Stegostoma tigrinum: one gene and its partner. Each later gene encodes a partner of the first gene's protein in a complex. Links are inferred from orthologs where the notes say so. Each region holds a gene or a part of one and is shown in the gene's direction. Other genes may lie near its edges. The genes, in order: amyloid-beta A4 precursor protein-binding family A member 1-like and protein lin-7 homolog B.

Region 1 (12,168 bases):
AATGAGAAATATGACACTATTGAATGCGTTAGATTCTACAATATGCACTGCCAATGAATTTGCTTATGCTGAGAGACAGCAGATAGAATCAGCACGTTTTACTGAAACTAGACTAAGACTTTCGATCAATAACCAGTTTGTTTATGCAAAATACGTGAATAGAAAGTATATAGTTTTCACAGTAAGAATACATTTATCCAAACAGAATTTTATGAAATACTTTAATTATGTAAGTTATTATGTAGCACAGGAGCACTTTCTACAGTTGAACCCGTTGAAACTAAGTTGGTCGAGACTCCAGGTACCCTGATTTTAGGCACTAAAAAATGTTGAAGATTGGCAAAAGGGGAAACATAGAACTGATTTCACTTTGAAAGTGAGGAATCCAAATCTAGTAGATATATATGTATAAAATATATAAAATCTTAACAAAGTTAGTCAGGAATTCAGGAGAAAATTCTTTAGTGACATAGATGTGACAATGTGGAACTCATTTCCACAAGGAAAATGGCAGAGATGTGTTTAAAGGGAAGCCAGGTAAGGACATGAGAGAGAAAAGAAGCTGCCTGGGTGAAATGAACAATGGGTGGAGGAAATTCATAAAGTGCATAAGTAATTGCATAGACTGAGTGGACTATTTCTGTGTTTTGGTTTATGTGGAACTTTCCATCCAGAGTGATTAGGTTGTTGCTAATAGAGCAGATTTGTAGATTGCCTTGAATAAAGTGTGGTACAGACAACACTTACTCCAGGCAAGAAAGTTCTTAAATTCTTGCCCTCAAGAAGAATATAGTCAAGGACAGTGCCCTTATCCAAAAAGGGAGGGAAACAAAAAATAGAGAACCATCGGCCAGTTAGATTAATACTTCCCATTGGGAAATTGTCAGTTTATATTCAGGATGTAATAGCTGATCATTTAAAATACATAATTAGAGTCAAGCAGAATTTAGTCTGGCTTAAGGAGGGAAAATCATGCCTAACAAATTTGAGAATTCTTTGAGGAGTTATGAAGCAGTGTAGATAAAGGAGAACCAGTTGATGCAATATATTTGGATGTCCAAAAAGCCATTTGTCAAAGTTCCACATACAAGGCTATTAACTACATAGTAGCCCAGGTTACCATATTACCATGGATAGAGGACTTGCTTAGCAAAAACAGAAATTTGGTGTAATGTTAGCATTTTCAGGATTGCAACCTTCAACTAGTGGAATGTGGTAGGATCAGGGCCAGAGACAAAATTGCAATATGTATTAATGACTTGGCTCAGGAAAGTGAATGTACTATTGTCCAGTTTAAGAATGACATTAAAAATAGGTAGGAAGGCATCTCGTGAGGATGACACAAAGAGGGATAGAAACAGATTAATTGATTGGGCAAAAAAGCTTGGCAGATAGAATATAATGTGGGAAAATATGAGATTATATGCTTTGACAGGAAGGATTAATGAGATAAATATTATTTAAATAGAAAAAGACAGCAGGAGCTGCAGGACAGAGGGATTTGGGAGTTCTTGTGCATAAATCACAAAAAGCTGACATACAAATTCAGTAGGTCATTGGGAAGGCAAATGGAATGTTGGTGTTTATTTCAAAAGGAATGGAATATAAAAATAGGAAGTCTTGCTAAACTTAGACAGGATGCTGGTTAAACCACATCTAGAATACTGTGAACAGTTTTGGACCGCTTGTCTATGGAAATAAATGTTGCCATTGGAGGCAGTCCAGAGAAAATTCACAAGATTGATTCTAGGTATGGAGGGATCTTCTTATGATGAGAGGTTGAGTAGGTTGGGCCTGTAATCATCGGAGTTAAAAGTATGAAAGGCAACATTTTTTTAATCATATGCAATTCTTAACGGATTTGCAGAGAGGTTGTTTCCCATTGTGAGAGAGTCTGGGACCATAGGGAATAATCCCAGAGTAAGGGATTGCCTATTTAAAGACTGAGATGAAGAGGTTCTTTCCTCTTAAGGTAGTGGATCTGTGGAATTCTTTATTGCAGCAGGCTGTGGAGGCTGGATCACCAAGTATATTCAAGGCTCAGATTTTAAATGAGTAAGGGTATCAAGGGCTATTGGGGAAAGGACAAGAAAGTGAAATTGAGAATTATTAGATCAACCATGATCTCACCGAATGGTGAAGCAGACTCAATGGGCTGAATAACCGACTTCTCCTCCCGTGTCTGTGTAATTTTATACCATTGCAAGTGACTCAGGACAAAACAATTATGTTTTCAAGAAAGCGATAGGTATAACTCTTGTGGATAAATGGATCAAGAGATACAGGAGGAGTGTGGGATGAGATTATGGAGCTTGATGATATTGATACTTTGATGATATGGAGTGGTGGAGCAGGCTCAAGGGGTCAAATGGCCTATTGCTGCTCCTGTCTTCTCTGCTACTATGTGTCTCATGGTCATTACCTGGGTTGTAAGAGGGATGAGGGAGGTTGCTATGAATACACAGATGGATGTTGAAAACAACTTGATTCGAACAGAAGATGTTCCAGTGGAGCTTGAGGGATATTTACCCTAGATATTTATTGCAACTATTGTTGAGAGATTGAGGGAAGCAGCATGAATTAAAGATTTTGGGAATTTCTGATTGTGAATTTTGGCCCTTGTGAAAGAGGAGTTCCATGTTACAAACACATAATAACTTAATGCTCTGACCCTATCACACAATATACACAGAACTGAAACAAGCTATTCAGCCCAACTTGTCCGTGCTGGTTCTTAAGCTCCACAGAACCCTCCTCCGCCTTGACGTTATCTCACACTAGCAGCATTTCCTTCTATTCCTTTTTCCTTCACATGCTTATCTAATTTCCCCTTAAATACATCCATACTATCCACTTCATCCTCTCTATGTGACTCCAGGCAGGAGTCAAGACTGAAATTTAAATATTATTGGATTCTAGGAAAGGCAAAATATATGGAAACCAGGCAGGAAAATGGGTTTGAGGTGAAAGTGTAGCTACAATCATCTTGATTGATGGACCCTATGGTCCAATCTTGCCTCTGTTCCTTATGTTCTTATCCACATTCTCACCATGCTCTGGGTAAAAAAGGTGTGAATTCCCTGTTAATTACCACCGTACATTTATGACACTATATTTGGGCTCCAACAGCAGGAACATTTCAGAGAAACAGCCATCTCTTAAAAATTTTTAAATTGGCGAGTGAATTTGTAATGTAGTAGGAAATGCTCAAGGTTTTTGATATAATTATATTTTCTATATTCAGAATTCTACTCTCTGCAGAGTAGCTGAAAGACCAGATGTGTTTGGATTTATAGATTAACTGTGCAAATTCTCTAATTCAGTATGGTTGTAGGATTTTACCATGAAACAGGCTTCTTAACCATGTCAATCTCAATTAGTGCTGTGGCAAGCTGCCACTGTTTCAGTGCACTGTATCACAAGCCCAGTTGGTATTTAGCATTTAGAAGATGCTGTATTGACAAAAGCAAAGAGACTTAGGGTTTTGATGGAGTGGGAACATAGTTTCTTCTTGTGGGGGAACAGCATAAGTAGAAGTCACCCAGGCAAGACAATCATTAAGACGTCCAACAGAGAATACAGGTGAAACTTTTTCATTCAAAGAATGTGGAACTCGACCACAAGGATTGTTGAAGAGAATGGTACAGACGCATTTAGGAGGAAGTTGGACAATCACATGAGGAAGATGACTGGAGGGTTATGTGGATAGATTTAGATGAGGTAAGATGGGAGAAAGCTGGAGTAGAGCAAAAAAAACACCAGAACAGATTAGAGCCAAACAATCCTGTTTCTGAACCCTTTATTCTGTGTAATTTTATGTGTGCAATCATTCACAAACATGAAATAGTAAAAGTTGATATTTATTACGTGACCACAGAATTAGGTGGCAAGAGTTTTATCAAATGCTGGATAATAATTTATTTTGTGTCTTTAACACAATAGACTGTCCACACAGGTGTTTTTCAAAATTTGACACTGAGCTGCAGAAGGGCAGGAGACTGAAACGATCAAAGAGTTAGTTTCAAAAGGGGAATGAGAAATGGAGGTGAGGCTCAAGGGCAGAATTCCAGAGCTTAAGGCCTCAGCATTTGAAGGCAAGATTGCCCTGTTTAATACAAAAGGTATTACTATATTTTTTAAAATGTCGCTTATCAGTTTTTCTCCATTGCTACTTTTCCATTTAACCTCTGAACATAGATTCCACTTGTATCAGTTAACATTTTTAAGGACTATAACATAATTTTAAAATTACAACTGCTTCAAATGAGAGATAGGCAGTAACAAAACTGAAAGAAAGCAATTACAGAACAATGCATTTTCACTTTCTTCACAAAATATTTTGAACTAAACAAATGTGCTCATTCCCTGCTCTAGAATGTTTGGTATCAGAAACAAATGATTTCTGTACATTTAAACAAGAGAGAGAGACAAGCACATATCACAGATTGCTAAGCAGTTCTTCATAAAAAGGTTAAAATTAACATAATGCACTAAACTAACCAAATTACAGCCCTTTTGATGGCGGTTCTGCAGCAGTTATTTCACTGTCGACACAGGAGGTAGTTTCTCCTTAGGATCCCTGACACTGGGGTGTGTAGTATGGTGCTGAAGGATGGAGAAACTGCAGCTGCTACTGCAGAGCTGAGAGACATCACTCACTATAACCACATTAACCCGGAGAGGTGGAATACAGTGAAGCAGCTGCAATCCTATGCTTACTTTGATTCAGCAAGACCATGCAAAAAAGACAAGGTTCCTTACATTTTGTATTGCACGTTTCATACAAATGATAAATTCATCACAGCATTTTTCCTAGATTTCTTCCAATTTTACTAAATGGTGTAAATGTATATAACTCTGTAGTGTGTGAAATTTTCCAGAATGTAGAAAAAATGCTAGCACAAGGAGTAAGTGAAATGATTAGTGTAGATGCATTTAAGAAGACAAAAAACAAAGTTGCTGGTTAAAAAAAATTCAACAGGCCTGGCAGCATCTGTGGAGAGAAAGCAGAGTTAATGTTTTGGGTCCAATGACCCTTCCTCAGAACTTGCTGAGTTTTTTCTGCTGAGTTTTTCAGCAATTTCTGTTTTTGTTTCTGATTTCTAGCATCTTTTGGGTTATTCTGCATTTAAGGAGGAGGTGGATGATCACCAAGGAGAAAGGACTCGAGAGATTATGCTGACAAAGTGAGATGAAGAAGGAATAGATAAAGATCCATGTGGAGCATAAACACCAGCATAGACCTGTTGGGCTGAGTGGCTTGTTTGTTTGTGCAAAATATTATGTGAAACAAAAATTTTAGGTCTAAACCTCAAGGTTCTCTCAAGGTTTCTATGGTGCAATGGCCGTCACATTCACTGAATACGCAAAACATTCCCTGTTCACAACCAGGCAGAATCATCAGGCTAGCTTAGGGCTCAGTTAGCTGGATGGCTGGTTTCCCAATACAGAGTGACACCAACAGTGTGGGTTCATTTCCCACAGTATCTGTGGTTACCATAAAGGACTGCCCTTGTCTGAGGTTAAGTCACCACCAGTGGTCTCTCTATGGTGAGACAGTGGGACTATGGCAGCTTTACCTTTGTATCAGATTTGCAAATGACTCATAAGGACTGACAACATATCCCATTTCCTATTCAGACCCTGTGGCTACCCTTTAGTATCAGTCACTTTACCAGCCCAGTTAATACAACTGATGAGTTTTCTGTCTCTGCTCTGTCTTTAAATGTATGTAATTCATTGGCTTTAAAGCTCAGCAACATCCTGAGGTGGTGAACGGTGCTGTAGAAATGAAAGTCTCGATTTTCTTTCCTCTTTAATCCATATGCAGAAACTAGTTTTCAATTTAAACAAACTCCCCATGGCCATTCTGGAATCTAATGATAATCTTAGTTTGTCCTCAAGGAAAAGTGGCAGAGACCATAAAACCCTTACAATGACCTAGGAATTGCAGGCAGGGAGGGTGTGAGAGAGCTGCAAAGTGCAAATATTATTTCTCCATCCTGTTTCTGAGCACATTTCTACGGGGTTCCAGGAATCTAAATTTTACTGTGTGACATAGAATGCAGAATTGAACCTCATGCTGACATTAAACTTGTAATGTTACCATGTTAATCCCCCGTCATTGGGAAACTTGCAAGAACTGAAAGGTGACTGCAGTATCAAGAGCGGAGTATAATCTGAAGACAACAGTGATTGGTAGATGATGGAGATTAACCCTCAGTGTGGGAGTAACCCCTGGGTCTGACAATGACACATGAACTATGGACATTGACGGTGTAGAGCTGGATGAACACAGCAGGCCAAGCAGCATCAGAGGAGCAGGAAGGCTGGCATTTCGGGCCTAGACCCTTCTTCAGGGCCCGAAACATCAGCCTTCCTGCTCCTCCGATGCTGCTTGGCCTGCTGCTTCATCCAGCTCTACACCTTGTTATCTCAGATTCTCCAGCATCTGCAGTTCCTGCTATCTATGGAGATTGACTCCTGAATGACCTTTGCGGTAAATGGAGAATTACATCTGAATGTTGAAGTGACCCCTGGGGAGTGCAGAGCGAGCCCTGAGTGTGGGAAGGACCCCTTGAATGTGTCAGAGTGATCATTGGGGAATGGACAGTGACCATTTTGAGGGTGGAAAGTGATGTCTGGGTATGAGAATGACCTCCTTAGTGAGAGAGTGACTACTGGGGTGTGGTGGAGAATGACCTCTCGGTGTGAGAGTGACCACTGGGGCAGATGAAATATGAGCCCCTTCGTGAGAAAGTGACCTCTGATTGTGAGAATGACTACTGGCAGTGGTGGAGTATGATCCCCTTAGTGACAGAGTGACTCCTTAGTGAGAGAGTGACCATTGTGGTGACGAAGAGTGACCCCCTTAGTGAGAGAGTGACCATTATGAGGTGGACAGTGACCCCAATAGTGAGAGAGTGACTATTGTGGGGTGGACAGTGACCACCTTGGTGAAAGAGTGTCCATTGCGGGGGTGGAGGGTGACCCCCTTAGTGAGGGAGGAGCCCCTTAAGGAGAAAGTGGCCATTGTGGGGGTGAAGAGTGACCCCCATAGTGAGACAGTGACCCTCTTAGTGAGAGAGTGAACCTCTTAAGTGGCAGAGTGACCATTGTGGTGGTGGAATGGCCCTCTTAGTGAGAGAGTGACCACTGGCTTAAGAACAAACATCAGAAACATTTCCGTCTCCGAGCCTGCGCAGTAATGGACCTTACCGGGCCCGGCTCCGGCGCCTGCGCGTTGAGCACGGTCCTCGGTCCAGCAGCCGGCGACTGCGCGCAGGCGCACTTCGCCCTGCAGCGCCTTCGCACACCGGGGCTACTTCCTGCCTGAGTGCCTCTGCAAATCTGAGTGTGTCTCTGCAAGAACCACAGGGAGGATCAGCTGGCAGCTAGAGGGCTTTAAACAATTGCAAGAAAACGGGCAAAGTGCGCGCAATGCAATCACGTCCAGATCTTGAGGGGCTTTAGGAATCACAGGTATGTAGCAGCAGGCTTCTGGTTCCCAGTTTCATTTTTTTTTGCAAAACGCTTTTAGTCATTTGCAGAGTATTTTGCGACAAATGTAAAAAAGGTGGGAGAAAGGATGCAGAAACCCCCTGTACACTTTCATGTAAGAAAATAAACGCATCAAAATAACAGCACGCTTAAAGCAGAACAATCTAAGTGTATTTTTAACTTAGATATTATGCGTATGTTCCTCCAGTTATTTTTCTTATTCTGAATTGTTCATTGACTGGGACATCCAAGAGATGGTCCATCTTATTGTGAAGATGCTATTCTCGCCCTTCAGTTTATTGAGGATCATGCTGCAGTAACGCTTTGTTGTGTTGATATGGCATCTTTCCTGAGAATGTACAGTAGCGGGCATATGGCAGACTGCGAGCAGAAAACCTCTCTAAGATCTTGTTTTTGCGTTTCATTCGTTGGTGTGTTTACAAGTATGTGATAACAGGGAGTTGGGGAGAGCAAACCTACGTTGCATTCTCTTAAGCCAGAGGGTGGTGAATCTATCTTACAGCAACAAGGTATCATACATGATACCATTTAAGCCAACCTGTAAACTCACTATGAATTCTCCCAAGATCAAGCAGGAACAATTCCTCTGTTTTTAAAGGCTAAAATGCTTACATTATTTGGCTTGCAAATTGTAACTGTTTAGCAGCAATAACTCAAGCGATGATCTAAAAACACATCTCCTTATACATTTTTACCAGTTGTAGTAGCCATCGTTGCTGATGGAATGCCAGTTTTACCATTTCACATAACTTCACTCAGGTTAAAAAAATTAATACTGTATGTAGTTCACCATGCGTCCTATTGAATTTAGACCAAGTGTCTGAAGGACTTTTTATTCATTAGCCAATAATAACTTGAATGAGTCAGGAAGGTAAAAGATATCTGTACGATATGTGAATGATATAGTCCATGATAGTATACAGATTGAAAGCTGATGACCGATCTGTGGGAGATAAAGGATTTGAAATGTTCAACCCCGTCACTAGTGTCCACTTTTTTGCTAATAACAGATTCCATTCATTCAGTGAATGTTTGATTGAAGGAAGGACTTCTTCAGTAACATGCTGCTTCTTGTTGATGTGTGCAGACATGGGTCAGCTTCCAGATGTATACTTACAATACGCAGCTCTGCCTGGCTGTCTGTGATGTTAAACAGTTTGTTCACTATCCAGACTTGCATAAGCCACACTTTGGTGAAATACGAGAAGACTGAAAAGCGCCACAAATTCTGCTGCCTCATTATCAATACCACCCCTTCCCCAGTAAAAGCCTCCGTTTGAACTAATCTGTTGGCAGCTTTGCTGTCATTTTTGACTGTGAGCTGAGTTTCCGATCACATGTCCTGTGCATCATAAAGGTTGCTTGCTTGCACGAGGTCAGCTGTCCTGGCCCTGCTTCGGTCCATCTGCTGCGGAACCCCATGTTCTTTTCTTTTCCATCTTCATGTTCAACTATGTTATTGCTCTCCTGGAAAGCTCCCGGTTTTCCACTTTACGTAAGTGTCAGCTACGCTGGCCGCATCCTAACTCTCACTAAGTGTCTCTTGCCCTGCTGCTTGCTGACTGACATTGGCTCACTGGTCTCCAGAGCCTCAGGTTTAAACTTATCATCCTCGTGTTCAAATCACCTCACGTACTTGCCTATTCTGTGCCTACAATCTCCTCGAGCTTACCAATCCCCTGCTATGTGCATAATTCACACCAGACCCTGTTCACCCATAACTCCAGTCCTCATGGAAGCACTGGGAACTGGGAAGAGGCCATTCAGTCCTTTGAACCAGCTCTACCGTTTGCTAAGATCATATCTGATCATATACCTCAAAGTCGTCTTCATGTTCTAACTCTTTATCCCTTGATTCTCTTACTACTCAGCAGTTTATGCTTAAACAACACAGTAATTTTAAAATTCTCATCCTTGTTTTCTAATCCGTCCATCACCTTACCCCTCTGTGTCTCTGTAATGTCCTTCACTTGTACACTTCTTTGCAATATCTGTGCTCCTTCAATTCTGGCTTCTTGAACAGCCCCAATTTTATTTAATAATCATCACAGCATATGGTGGGAATTCCAATGCTCTGGAATTCCCTCCATAAATATCTCTACTTCTCTCTCTGTCTCTCTCTCTCTCTCCCCTCCTTCAAGGTATTCTCCACAACTAGCAGTGTACAGTCATCTGAAGCCAGACGTGCTGAGTAAATGATCCATCTGGATTTGCTCCCGAAATTACGTCATTACTGACTCCAGACTGTAACACAATGTAAACTGAGTTGGTTACCCAGCAAGGGCAAAGTACATATGGGAAACTACAAAGGCTGTGGGACCTGACACCATTTCAGTTGTGATAATAAATGCTTGTGTTCCAGAAATAGCTGTATTTCTAGCCAATACAGTCCAATACAAACATCGAACCAACAATGTGGAAAACAGCAGAGGTCTAATTCAGCCATTTCCAATCGCCCTATTAGTCTTCCCTCAATCATCAGCAAAGTAATGGAAAGTGCCATTAACTGTGCTATAAAGCGGTACAGCTTCAACAATGACCTTACTGTCACTCAGTTCAGGTTCTGTCAGGGCCTCTCAACTCCTGACCTCATTACAGTCTTGATTCAAACATGGACAAAGACCTGAATTCCTCAGGTGAGGTGAGAGTTACTGTCCTTGACATCAAGGTTGCATTTGACTGAGTGTGGCATCAAGGAGCCCTGGTAAAACTGGAAGCAGTGGGAATCAGGGAGCAAACACTCCATTTGTTGGAGTCATACTGACACAGAGAAAAATGGTGTGATTTTTGGAAGTCAGTCATCTCAGCTCCATGTCATCTCAGCAGGAGTTCCTTAGGGTGTGGTTCTATGCCCCTCCATCTTCAGTTGCTTCATCAAAAACCTGCCGCCCATTACGGGGCCAGCAGTGAGGATGTTTCCTGATGATCGCGCAATCTTCAGCACGATTCATGATTCCTCGGATGTTGAAGTGGCCCCTGTGTCCCTACGCAGCAAAACCTGGACATCATTGAGGCTTGGGATGATGAGTTGCAAATTTTATTTGCCCTACAAATTCAATAGAGTATCATTGCTGAATCTCCTGCTGTCAACATGCTGAGGGTTACCGTTGACCAGAAACTGAATTGGAAAGGCCATAGTAGGCCAGGGGCTAGTTATTCTGTGATAAGTAACTAACAACGGCTCAGTGGTTAGCTCTGCAGCCTCACAGCGCCACGGACCCGGGTTCGATTCCAGCTTCGGGGGACTGTCTGTGCGGAGTTTGCACGTTCTCCCTGTGTCTGCGTGCGTTTCCTCCGGGTGCTCCGGTTTCCTCCCACAGCCCAAAGATGTGCAGGCTAGGTGGATTGGCCATGCTAAATTGCCCGTAGTGTTCAGGGGTGTTTGGGTTTTAGGGAGATGGGTCTGGGTGGGATGCTGCAAGGGGCGATGTGGACTTGTTGGGCCGAAGGGCCTGTTTTCACACTGTCGGGAATCTAATCTAATGAAAAAAAAATCCCGATTCCCAAAGGACTGTCCATCAGCTACAAAGCACATATCATATCCCATGGGAGGATAACAAAAAAAATCTGTTATTTGTTCAGTGTCACATTTGCTTTGATAATGCTTTGACCTAGAATGTTTGCTACTTTAAAGGTGCTGTCCCAACATGGGCAAGTTCCTGAATGAAATTGTTGATGGTACGAATTAAGACGTACAAATAAGATAACAGAAAAGCTTTAAAACTAATTGGCTTTTGTACTTGGAGTGGAATTCTATTAATCACTCTCATCTATATTCTGTCAGCTGTGTCGGAAATCAGTAATACCAGTGTGGTGTTCACCAAGTCAAATTATCCCTTCACCATGTGACAGTATTATTGTGTAGTATGGTGCTGTAACGCGGAAGGAGGCTATTTGGCCCGTCAAGTTGATGCACATTTTTTTCTCCACATGAACCATCTAATCTGATTTCACTGTCCTGCCTGCCTTCTGTAATTTGCATTACTTTGTCAACATCTACGTAAAGAGTCTAAAGGCATTTATTCTGAACAGGCTGCCATGGGGAATTCATAAGGACGTAAGAAATAGGATCAGGAGAAGTCGTTCCATCTCAAGATCTTGCTCCACAATTGAATAAGCCCATAGCTGATTTGGTTTTAATTCCATTTTCCTTTTTGACCCCCATAAAAATCCATCTAACTCAACCCTGAGTATATTCTATGACCCAGCCTCCAGTGCCGCTGTGTTGGAGAACTCCTGCAATTTAATGCTACATTGACAGAAGAAATGCGTCCTCATCTCTGTCTTAAATTTGAGATCCCTTATTTCTAAACCGTGTCCCCTAGTTCAAGATTTTCTCTCAATGGGAAATACCTCCTCACCACGTGTCCTGACTTTCAACAAGGTCACCTCCCATTCTTCTAAACTCCAGTGAGTATCAGCCAAGCTTGCTCAACTGTGCCTCAGAAGACAGCCCTTATCTTTGAACCTCCTACATTGTGAATAAATTCCAGCTTGTGTAAGGAAACCTAAACTCTACACAGTAAATTCTGTGTCCTGTGACATCTGCAGCACATTTTTAAAAACACCTTTTTAATTCTGTCCCTGAACCACCTGCAGCTCGACATCCCTCTGAGATTTATGCGTTCCTCCCAGTCTGACACCTTG
Region 2 (12,886 bases), on another chromosome or scaffold:
AGACAGCCTTGACAGAATCTTTTTTTCCCAGAGATGAAATTACTAATACTAGGGGCTATGCATTTAATGTGAGACGGGAATCTTCAAAGGAGATGTGAGGAGCAAAACTTTTACACAGCCTGGAAACCACTGCCAGGGGTGATGGTGGAGACAGATACAATGGGGGCATTAAAGGAATAGATAAACACAAGGGGATTGGAGGGATATGGGCTAAGGGCAGGCAGAAGGAACTAGTTTAGTTTGACATCATGTTCAGTATGACATCATTGGCAGAAGGTCCCATTCCTGTGCTGTACAGTTCTATATTCTAAAGAACTGCATGTGTTGGAACTACCGAAATTGCTGGAGAAACTCGGCAGGTCTGGCCGCGTCTGTGGAGAGAGAAACAGAGTTAACATTTCGGGTCCAGCTTCTGCAGTGAGGTCGCTCCACTTTCTCTCCACAGATGCTGTCGGACCTGCTGAGCTTGTCCGGGTTTATGGCAGATTTGAATAAGGTAGAGATTTAAAAAACTGCTCTCATTGGCCAATTGGAGTCACTCATTTCAGGCTTTTGGGCAAGAAATGGAGCAGGCAATGCGATGAAGAACTGCTGAGCAAATCATAATGGCCTGGGCTTGTCATCGAGAAGGGCAGGGAATACCGAGACAATCACTAATTTAGGGAAAATGAATGAACAAACGTTCATACTACTGGGATAAAAGAGGAGAATGGGACTGACTAGACTGCACTACAAAAAAGATGGCATGGACTGAATGGCCTCATTCTGTACCTGTTTATATGGGCTGTACAGATTCCAGGCTTTATAAATAAAGCAATGAAAACCTTTGAAAAACATTGATTCAGGTCAACTCAAGTCCAGTTGCAGAATCATGGAATCGCTACAGTGCAGACAGAGTTACTAGTGGTGTACCGCAAGGGTCGGTGTTGGGTCCACTGCTGTTTGTCATTTTTATAAATGACCTGGATGAGCGTGTAGAAGGATGCGTTAGTAAATTTGCAGACGACACTAAGGTCGGTGGAGTTGTGGATAGTGACGAAGGATGCTGTAGGTTGCAGAGAGACATAGATAAGCTGCAGAGCTGGGCTGAGAGGTGGCAAATGGAGTTTAATGCAGACAAGTGTGAGGTGATGCACTTTGGTAGGAGTAACCGGAATGCAAAGTACTGGGCTAATGGTAAGATTCTTGGTAGTGTAGATGAGTAGAGAGATCTCGGTGTCCATGTACACAGATCCTTGAAAGTTGCCACCCAGGTTGATAGGGCTGTTAAGAAGGCATACAGTGTTTTAGCTTTTATTAATAGAGGGATTGATTTCCCGAACCAAGACGTTAAGGTGAAGCTGTACAAAACTCTGGTGCGGCCGCACTTGGAGTATTGCGTACAGTTCTGGTCACCGCATTATAAGAAGGATGTGGAAGCTTTGGAAAGGGTGCAGAGGAGATTTACTAGGATGTTGCCCGGTATGGAGGGAAGGTCTTACGAGGAAAGGCGGAGGGACTTGAGGCTGTTTTCATTAGAGAGAAGAAGGTTGAGAGGTGACTTAATTGAGACATATAAAATAATCAGATGGTTAGGTAGGGTGGATAGGGAGAGCCTTTTTCCTCGGATGGTGACGGCGAGCACGAGGGGGCATAGCTTTAAATTGAGGGGTGAAAGATATAGGACAGATGTCAGAGGTAGTTTCTTTACTCAGAGAGTAGTAAGGGAATGGAATGCTTTGCCTGCAATGGTAGTAGATTCGCCAACTTTAGGTACATTTAAGTCGTCATTGGATAAGCATATGGACGTACATGGAATAGTGTAGGTTAGATGGGCTTGAGATCGGTATGACAGGTCGGCACAACATCGAGGACCGAAGGGCCTGGACTGTGCTGAAATGTTCTATGTTCTAGAGTCCATTCGCCCCATTGAGCCTATACTGACCCTGTGAAGACCACCCTCTTGCCCTGGATTTCCAGGATTAAGGAACTATAGGTCTTACTGAAGAGCCAAATGACCTACTCTGCTTCTGCAGTGTATGTTCATAAATTCTTCCTTTACAGATAATGACTGAATATTGCTGGGGGTGGTGTGAGCGGGGGAGCGGGGAATGAGAGAGAGAGATTGAGAGAGAGAGAGAAAACTGGCTCAGTGGTTAGCACTGCTGCCTCATGGCATCAGGGACCCGGGTTCAATTCCACCCTCAGGTGACTGTGGAGTTTGCACATTCTCCCCGTGTCTTCGTGGGTTTCCTCTGGGAGCTTCGGTTTCCTCAGTCCAAAGGTGTGCAGGTTAGGGTGGATTGGTGTAAAGGAAATGCAGGGTTATGGAGTGGAGTTGGGATGCAATTTGCTGTAGACTCGATGGGCCAAATGGTCTGCATCTGCACTTGTAGGAGTTCTGTGAGAGAGCTTGTCTTGCACACATCAGGACAAACACAAGAATGCCAAATTTCAAATGATTGGAGACAAGGGATGTGATTGGTTGACACATCCGGCCTGACTAGCTGAGATGTTGCCATGGAGAAAGCAATGACCTGTGCAATTCAAAAAAAAGGAGTAAGGCTTTCAGCATATCTCTTTTGTTCATGGAGAAGGAGTGTATGCCATTTCTCACAAGTGTAAATAAGCCACATGATGAAGGGTCTGGGCCCAAAGCGTCAGCTTTCCTGCTCCTCTGATGCTGCTTGGCCTGCTGTGTTCGTCCAGCTCCACACCTTGTTATCTCAGATTCTTCAGCATCTGCAGGTCCTATTATCTCTCATCACATGATGAGCTCAACTGATTGCCTTAATCTCATTGTCAGTATAACAAGCACACTTGGGAGTGTTCGAAATGTGTTACCCAGTTGTGGAATCACAACCAGAAGGCCACAGGATTCCCAAGCAGAAAACAAGATACTGTTCTTCCACAACACAACAACAAAAACAAAATTGCTAGAAAAGCTCAGCAGCATCTGTGAAGGAAAAAACAGAGTTAACGTTTCAAGTCTGGTGACCCTTCCTCAGAACACCAGACCTGAAATGTTAACTCTGATTATTTCCTTCACAGATGCTGCCAGACCTGCTGAGCTTTTATCGCAACTTTTGTTTTTGTTCCTGATTTACAGCATCCGCATTTCTTTTGGTTTTTAGTTATACTGTTCCTCCAGCTCTGATGAAGAGTTATCTAGACTCAAAACATTAGCTTGCTCTCCATCTCTCTCTCTCTCTCTCTCCCCCCCTCTCTCCATGGATGCCGCTTGACCTGCTCTGATCCCCAGCATTGTTTGCTTTCAGTACAAGATTCAGTAGTAATTTGCAGTAATTTGTTTCTGCTGTCCTTCCAGCTTGTGCTGAGCTTCACTGGAGCACTGCAGCAAGCCCAGGACAGAAATCTTGCCCAGAGAATACAATGGTGTGTTTCAGCGACAGGCAACTGGAAGCTTGGGGTCGCCCTGTCTGTGTTTCATCTTCACATTGTAGATTAGACCAGTGAGAGCAGTAAATACTTTGAAAATTATAGCTGGTGTAGGCCATTCAGTCCCTTGGGCCTGCTACACCATTCGGTATAATCATGCTGATTGAGCTCAATACCCTAATCCTCCCCTCTCCCTATATTCCTTGATCATTTTAGCCACAAAACAAAAACTATATCTACCTCCTTCTTGAAAACACAATGTTTTTGCCTCAACCACTTTCTGTGATAGTGAATTCCACATGCTCGTTACTCTATAGGTGAAGAATTTCTCCTCATCTCAATCCTAAAGAATACCCCTTATCTTTAAACAATGCCCCCTGGTTCTGGACTCCCCAGTCTTTCCTGCATCTAACCTCTCTAGACGTGGTAGAATTCTGTAGGTTTCAATGAGAGTCCCTCCCCATTCTTCTCAGCTCCACTGAATAGAATCCTAACTGACTCAATCTCTCCTCATATGTCAAACCTGCCAAACCTGAAATCAAATATAATAGGAACTGCAGATGCTGGAGAATCTGAGATAAAAAAAGTGTGGAGCTGGACGAACACAGCATCTCCCAGTCACGAACTATTTCAACTCCCCCTCCAATTCCTTAGACAACATGTCTATCCTGGGCCTCCTGCAGTGCCACAATGATGCCACCCATAGGTTGCAGGAACAGCCACTCATATTCCGCTTGGGAACCCTGCAGCCCAACGGTATCAATGTGGATTTCATCAGCTTCAAAATCTCCCCTTCCCCCACTGCATCCCAAAACCAGCCCAGTTCGTTCCCTCCCCCCACTGCACCACACAACCAGCCCAGCTCCTCCCCTCCACCCACTGCATCCCAAAACCAGCCCAGCTCGCCCCCGCCTCCCTAACCTGTTCTTCCTCTCACCTATCCCCTCCTCCCACCTCGAGCCGCAGCTCCATTTCCTACCTACTAACCTCACCCCGCCCCCTTGACCTGTCCATCCTCTCCAGACTGACCTATCCCCTCCCCACCCATACTCTCCTCCCCATCTATCTTCTCCTCTATCAATCTTCGGTCCACCTTCCCCTCTCTCCCTATTTGTTTCAGAACCCTCTCCCCATCCCCCTTTTCTAATGACGGGTCTAGGCCTGAAACATCAGTTTGTGTGCTCCTAAGATGCTGCTTGGCCTGCTGTGTTCATCCAGCTCCACACTTTCTTAACCCTGAAATCAATCTTGATAAACCTTCGCTGTTCTTCCTTCTACAGCAAGAATGTCCTTTCTCAGACAAGGAGATCAAAAACAGAACGATATATTTAGATTACCTACAGTGTGGACATCCCTGCTCCTTTACTGGAATCAAATAGTTTATCTTCTTTTGTACACTAGATTGAGAGAAGTGCAGGTAATTCACTCCTTCACCTGAAAGGTGTTTCTGTAGCCTTGGATGATGATGAGAGAGAGGTATCTCAGATCCTCCTTTCACTTTACAATATTCAGGTGCTTGGTTATGTCAGATACAGACTTGGAGTCATAGAGTCAAATAGCACAGAAATAGACCTCTCAGTGCATTAGTCCATACTGACCAGACATCCCAATCTAACTCAGTCCCATTTGTCAGCATTTGGCCCATATCTCTCTAAACCCTCCCATCCAGATGCCTTTTAAACGCTGTAATTGTACCAGCCTCCACCACTTCCTCTGGCAGCTCGTTCCATACACACACCACCCTCCGTGTGAAAAGGTACCCCTCAGGTCCCTTTTAAGTCTTTCCCCTCTCGCCTTATCCCCGTGCCCCTTAGTTTTGGACTACCCCAACCTGGGGAAAAGACCTTGCCTATTCACTCTCTCCATCCCCCTCATGATTTTGTAAAACTCTATAAGGTCACCCCTCAGCCTCCGACTCTCCAGGGAGTACAGCCCCAGTCGATTCAGCCTCTCCCTGTAGCTCAAACCCTCCAACCCCAGGAACATCCTTGTAAATCTTTTCTGAACTCCTTTAAGTTTCACAACATCCTTCCCATAGAAGGGAGACCAGATTTGCACACAGTACTCCAATAGTGCCCAGACTAATGTCCTGCACAGTCGCAACATGACCTCCCAACTCCTGTACTTAATGCATAGACCAATAAATGAAAGCACACTAAATGCCTTCTTCATTATTCTGTCTATCTGTGACTCCACATTCAAAGAGCTATGAACCTGCACTCCGAGGTCTCTTTGTTCAGCAACAATCCCCAGAACCTTGGGGTGGCATGGTAGCCCTGTGGTTAGCGCTACTGCCTCACAGTGTCAGGGACCTGGGTTCAATTCTAGCCTTAGCTGACCACCTGTGTGGAAAATACTTATTCTCTCTGCGCCTGTGTGGGTTTCCTCCAAGTTCTCTAGTCTTCTCCCACAGACCAAAGATGTGCAGGCTAGGTCAGTCAAAAGTAGTGCTCAGGGATGCCTAGATTAGGTGGGTTATAGGGGGAACGGGTCTGGGTGAGATGTTCTGAGGGTCAGTGTGGATTTGCTGGGCCAAAGGGCTTGTTTCCACACCGTAGGGATTCTATGATTTATGAACGTTACCATTAACTGTGTAAGTTCTGATCTGATTTGCCTTTCCAAAAATGCAATACCTTGCATTTATTGAAATTAAACAATATTTGCCACTCCTCGGGCCATTGTCCCAACTGATCAAGATCCCATTGTACACTGAGGTATCTTTCTTCGGTGTCCTCTACACCTCCAATTTGGTGTCATCTACAATCTTACTAACCATACTTCCTATGTTCATATCCAAATCATTTATACAAACAATGAAAGGCAGTTGACCCAGTACCAATCCTTGTGGCTGGTCACAGGCCTCCAGTACAAAAAGCAACCCTACACTACCACCCTCTGCCTTCTACCTTGCAGCCAGTTCTGTATCCAAATGGCTAGTTCTCCCTACATTCCACATGATCTAACTTTGCTAACCAAAAACCTGATGAAGGGTCGAGGCCCCGAAACGTCAGCTTTTATGCTCCTAAGATGCTGCTTGGCCTGTTGTGTCCATCTAGCTCCACACTTTGTTACCCATGAGGAACCCTGTTGAACACCTTACTGAAGTCCACATATATCACATCTACCGCCCTGCCCTCATCAATCCTCCTCACCTCTTCAAAAAAGTCAATCAAGTTAGTTAGATGTGATTTGCAAAGCATAAGGCCATGTTGAATCTCCCTAATCAGTCCTTGTCTTTCCAAATACATGTAAGTCCTGTGTGTAGGGATTCCCTCCAACAGCTTGTCTCAGAAAAAAGGGCTGCAACTTCAGACTGAGGTGAGGAAAAATTTCTTCACAGAGAGGGCTGTGAGGTACCTTATGTCTATTTAATGGTGAAATAGATTAAGACCATAAGACATCGGAGTGGAAGTAAGGCCATTCGGCCCATCAAGTCCACTCCGCCATTTATATCATGGTTGATGGGCATTTCAACACCACTTCCCTGCACTCTCCCCGTAGCCCTTGATTCCTTGTGAGATCAAGAATTTGTCTATCTCTGCCTTGAAGGCATCCAACGTCCCGGCCTCCACTGCACTCTATGGCAATGAATTCCACAAGCCCACCAGTCTCTGGCTGAAGAAATGTCGTCTCATTGCAGTTTTAAATTTACCCCCTCTAATTTTAAGGCTGTGCCCACGGGTCCTAGTCTCCCTGCCTAACAGAAACAACTTCCCAGCGTTCACCCCTTCCTAGCCATACATTATCTTGTAACCATACATTATTCTTGATCAGTTGGGGAATCAAACGTTAAAGGGAAAGGACAGGAAAAGTGCATGTAAGGGCTGTCAGATCAGCTACTATCCTGTTGAATGGTGGAGCAGTTTCAACGGGCTGAATGGCCTGTTTCAGTTCCTATTTCTTATGGTCAGCGGCCCCTGTGGCCGGGGACTGTCATCGCAGGACTGGGGATCGTGGCCAGAGGAAGGTGACAGCGGCCCCTGTCGCCAGACACCTGTCGTTGCAGGAGGCGTGGGAGGCCCCGCCCCTCACCGCGGTGGGCGTGGCTACAGCTCCGCCGGTGTTGATCACGTGTCGCTTCACGGTCAGGTGATACCGGCTCCAAGATGGCGGCGTTGGCTGAATCTTTGTCGCTGGAGAGAGGTGAGTGAAATAGCTGACCACCCTCAAACCCTGCTGCCGTCGCATCTCTTTCTCTTTCCATGGGGGCCACCGAGACCCCGCGAAGGACCGGCATTTCATTCCTGATCCCGTTAAAGCTATGAATGAGTGACACCGCTACCCGCATAGCCAATCAGAGCCTGAACTCTCTGATTGACAGCAGGGTGGACCAATGGGGATGAGGTGACTATTAATATATATAAGGAGACCGACCAATAGCGAAAGGGGACGGGATCTATGGCGACTTTTTCCAGAATTATGGCTGATATAGTTCAGTAAAATATCTTAAAACAAAAATATGTGTCAGTGTCTATTTTAGTAATACGTCTCATTCTTAAATCTGTAAATGTATATAATCAGCCCGGTCAATATACATGTTAACAATGTCTCATAACTTTATCAGCATATATTTGTCCCACACATCTTTCTATCAATCATCCTTCACTTATATATTTTGTATCTCTCAGACATATTTTTGAATAATTTTTGCACATTTCGTATATCTATCAAATTCTATTTCAGTAATACTGAAACATAGATAATTATATCCCTGAAAGATATGCGAGGTGTATCAGTGAATTCTATAATGTCATATATATGAAACATATGTCTGAATACATTTAGCGTTTACCCCTATAAAGTATAGGACACATTACTGAAATGCATGCTGATATGTATCTGAAAGATACAAAATGTGGGGAAATATGTTTTTCAGATACCTGAAATAAATTTTGATATACGTGTATGTTTCAGTTATAGCTATCAGTATATGTTTCAGCAATTTATCTGTATATTGCAGTGTATTTATATATAGTGTACATTTCACATGTGTGTCAGAGCATAGACAACTGAATTAATTAAAATAAAATCAGTAAAAGGACCACTTCTGCCACAATTGTGCTGCCTTGTCATTAGTGCCATAAGACATTCCCAAATTTTCTCACATCCAATGCTCAAAAATGCAGTAGCAAACAAAATCTTTAAGATAGCTAGTGGGGTGTTTAACAAGCCAATAACCAGTCATTCCAGAATAACTGACGATTTTGTATGGTCCACCCAACAACAACATGCCCTATTTAACATGTGCACAGGTAGGATAGGCAGGGGGCTGTTCATATTTTTTGGCTTCTTTATTCATTCATGGGATGAAAACATCACTGGCTAGGCAGCATTTATTGTCCATCCCTGATTGTCCCCAGGGCATTTAAGAGTCAACCAAATTGCTGTGCGTCTAGAGTCACACATAGGCCAGACCAGCTAAAGATGGCACTTTCCTTCCCTAAAGGACATCAGTGAACCGGATAGGTTTTTCCTGACAATTGACAATGGATTCACAGTCATAATTAAATTCTTAATTTCAGATATTTTATTGAATTCAAATTCCACTATCTGCCATGGTGGGATTCAAACCCTGGGCCCCCAGAACATTATCTGGGTTTGATACATACGTGAAATGTATACTATAGATAAATTGCGGTGTGGACTTGTTGGCCGAAGGGCCTGTTTCCACACTGTAGGGAATCTAATCTAATCTAATCTCTTGTGCTCCACCTGAGAAGGCAAGCAGCAGCAAGTTAATTATTGCAAGTGGCTGTCAGTGAAGCACGGGTTCCCAGACTGGTTTCAGAAGCCACTGCCACACACCAGAAAATAAATTAGACGGAGCAAGAATACTTCTGGCCAGGGATGGGGCAGAAATGTCAAGCTTGAACACTACCTGCAAGCCAATTGCTTAATTTCTGCTTTCTGCATGGTCTAGATGTTACCAGAGCGATCGAGCTGCTGGAGAAGTTACAGCGAAGCGGCAATGTTCCCCCGCAGAAACTGCAGACGCTGCAGCGAGTTCTTCAGAGCAAGTTCTGCTCTGCCATCCGAGAGGTCAGTACGCAATCAGCGACTATAGCTTTGCTCCCTAAATGCATGCGCTCATTAAACTCAACATCAGCAAATGTGTTTGTGCATTGTAGCTCTTTCTGCATGCGTCAGCCTTTGAAGGAAAGAAGCTTATTTGCACATATTACTGTTGCATTTGATTAAAAATGAATTTTACTCTTTCTAACATGTACAATTTTAACAAAGAGTGCAGTGAGAATTTAAAATTCACTACAACATGGAATAGTTGAGGTGAACCGCATTGATATATTTTTGGCGAAGCTGGTGAACATATATGGGAGAAAGGAATAGAAGGTTATGCTGTTAAGAGTGTGGGGTGCAGAGAGGGGTAGTGGGGAAGACCTCTGTGGTGTATAATATTGGCTTAGACCAATTAATATCAATTAGCCAGTTTCTGTGTTGTGAATTCTATGTAGCTCACCTGTCCAGATCAAGAAGTATGTTTCAAAATGTCCCCAGTCAATTCCGATAATCAAGTCTTTAATGAGAAATTATCAGACTGCAATTACACACATCATGAATAATAAGGTAGTTTTGCCCAAGCTTTGTATCTTCTGGCATCTTAGCCTGTACTACAGAGAATATTCCTACCAAATTTAACTGAAAAATATACTTGGACTTAATGTCCATTTACAGCATCAGTGAAGATTAGCCAGTAACACCTTGTTTCAGAGATAGTAGGAACTGCAGATACTGGAGAATCGGAGATAACGAGGTGTAGAGCTGGATGAATACAGCAGGCCAAGCAGCATCAGAGGAGCAGGAAAGCTGACATTTTGGGCCTAGACCCTTCTTCAGAAATGGGGGGAGGGGGAAGGGGATTCTGAAATAAATAGGGAGGTGGGGAGGTAGATAGCAGATGGATAAAGGAGCAGTTTCAGGGCCAAAGAGATTAAGCGAGAATTGCAGCGGGAAAGAGATCCACTGAGGTCTTCCTGGAGGGAGGAGGGTAACTTCTTCAAGTTAGGCATCCTTAGAAGAAGCTTTGCAGTGGAGTTAACAATGTTTCGGAGATATTAGGAACTGCACATGCTGGAGAATCTGAGATAACATGGTGTACAGCTGGATGAAAGACCTCAGAGGATCTCACTGCAACTCTCATAATCTCTTCAGTCCTGAAACTGCTGCTTTATTCATCCTCGATCCGCCTCCCCCTTTCTCCCTATTTATTTCAAAATCCCCTTCCCCTCCCCCATTTCTGAAGAAGGGTCTAGGCCCGAAACGTCAGCTTTCCTGCTCCTCTGATGCTGCTCGGCCTGCTGTGTTCATCCAGCTCTACCCCTTGTTGTCTCAGTAATACCTTATACCTGCATACCATTTGTCCATAGAATATTGCTGTCTGCTCTCACATTTAAGTCATGCACTTATATTAACACTTCGTATTATTATTCTTACGCCCACATTTGAGATGGTAACTGCATATGTAAGCATCACACTGTAATTACACGCGCTGACCACTGGAAATACTGCGGGACAATTCCAGGCAAGTGCCATTTTAGATCTGTTTTGTTTGCCTACATACTGTGGTTTTTAAGTATGGATGTAGAAATGCGTAATGAGAAAGGTTAACAAATCGTGTGAGAGAAAGGGCAGACCATAAACTGTGCTGTGTTCCAATAATCCTGCACCTCACCTCAAACTCATACTAGATCTTTACTGACTGAGTGAAAGACCGTGGGAGAGCAGCTCAAAGTCTTTTTAAAAGCCCGGCATGCATGTGTAATGCCAAGTTTCCTTAATACGTTTCGCGCCATACTTGATTAACAGTCTTGTTGGTATAATTATACCATGAAGATGCCACAAGAGATCCGACAGCATTAGATTGTAATCCATGAGTGACTGTCTTTTGTACTGGGGTTGATTATAGTTATTAGTCTATTACATTAATTTTTGAGAGTACTGTGCAGCTCCATAATGACACAGGGTGCTGTGAGAATACTTCCGTGCAGGGGCTGTACAATTGGCTAACGTGCTGGGAGCCACAGACTTGCTGAAACTGTGTAGAATTCCTGGCATGTTAGAGATATATAAAGGGGTTGCACCAGTGCAGATTAGCTTAAGCAGTTAACACTATCAAACACAGAATTAGCATCAAAAGGTGTGTTTTTGAAATTTTATGCTTTTTTTTTGTTTTCTATCCCTGTAAACTTGTACTTTGACAGATTTTGTCATTTAGCTGAGTGCAGGATGTATAAGGAGGACAGCAGGAGAACATAATGGATGGATTCTTGGGATGTCAGGTTAGTCAGAGGAGAGATTGAGTCACGTGGCTCTGTATTCAGTAGTGTTTGAAAGAATGAGAGACGATCTCATCATCAAATGTACAATTCTGACAGGCCTAGACAGACAGGATGCAGGAATGATGTTTCTCCTGGCCTGGGGATCTAGCTCAAAGGGTCACATTCTTAGGATATGCATTCAATCGTTTCAGACTGAGATAAGGACAAATTTCTTCACACACAGTTCTGAGCCTGTGAATTCTCTACCATTATGGAAGAATAGAAATAAACAGATTTTCAGAAGCTAACGGTGTCAAACATAACAAAGTGTGTATCTAGATGCAGGCTAAGCAGCATCTCGGGAGCACAAAAGCTGACATTTCGGGCCTAGACCCTTCATCAGAGACGGGGATGGGGAGAGGCCCTCCCCCCACTGCATCACAAAACCAGCCCAGCTCGTCCCCGCCTCCCTAACCTGTTCTTCCTCTCACCCATCCCCTCCTCCCACCTCAAGCCGCACCTCCATTTCCCACCTACTAACCTCATCGCGCCCCCTTGACCTGTCCGTCCTCCCCAGACTAACCTATCCCCTCCACACCTCCCCACCTATCTTCTCCTCTATCAACCTTCGGTCCACCTCCCCCTCTCTCCCTATTTATTTCAGAACCCTCTCCCCATCCCCCTCTCTGATGAAGGGTCTAGGCCCGAAACGTCAGCTTTTGTACTGAAGAGATGCTGCTCGGCCTGCTGTGTTCATCCAGCTCCACACTTTGTTATCTTGGATTCTCCAGCATCTGCAGTTCCCATTATCTCTGGTGTCAAAGAGTCTGCGAGGGAACCAGAGTACGGCATTAAGGTAGAGGATTGGCCATGATCATATTAAATGGTGGAGCAGGCTCACTAGGACAATGGCCTAACCCTGCTTCTGTTTTCTGTGTTCCCATACCCCGTCTCTCATTCAGGTGTACGAACAGCTTTACGAGACACTCGACATCAGTGGCAGTCCTGAGATCCGAGCTCACGCAACAGCCAAGGTACCCACAGCCTGACGAACCCGGGTCCCTCACTGAGCACAAGTAACAAGGTATTTGCGAACCTGTGACCACAGGATCAGGAGAAGGCCGTGGTCACTTCTGCCATGCAGCCAGGTCCTGGCTGCTCTGAACCGTAACCTGAAGTACCTGCCTGAGTACAGTCGCACCAAGTACCTTTGCCTGACACAAATCTGTCAGCCT

Evidence for each region.
Region 2: amyloid-beta A4 precursor protein-binding family A member 1-like (region 1) and protein lin-7 homolog B share a complex: the UniProt entries of both Homo sapiens proteins name them as parts of the brain-specific heterotrimeric complex. The link is inferred for Stegostoma tigrinum from reciprocal best matches to the Homo sapiens genes APBA1 and LIN7B.

The regions. Positions count from the first base shown.
Region 1 is NC_081356.1:28,370,057-28,382,224, reverse strand, and holds the start of amyloid-beta A4 precursor protein-binding family A member 1-like, read left to right. Parts: upstream 1-7,309; 5' UTR 7,310-7,482; intron 7,483-12,168. UniProt on the Homo sapiens protein: Putative function in synaptic vesicle exocytosis by binding to Munc18-1, an essential component of the synaptic vesicle exocytotic machinery. May modulate processing of the amyloid-beta precursor protein (APP) and hence formation of APP-beta.
Region 2 is NC_081391.1:19,465,613-19,478,498, forward strand, and holds the start of protein lin-7 homolog B, read left to right. Parts: upstream 1-7,463; 5' UTR 7,464-7,484; coding exon 7,485-7,521; intron 7,522-9,298; coding exon 9,299-9,417; intron 9,418-12,613; coding exon 12,614-12,685; intron 12,686-12,886. UniProt on the Homo sapiens protein: Plays a role in establishing and maintaining the asymmetric distribution of channels and receptors at the plasma membrane of polarized cells.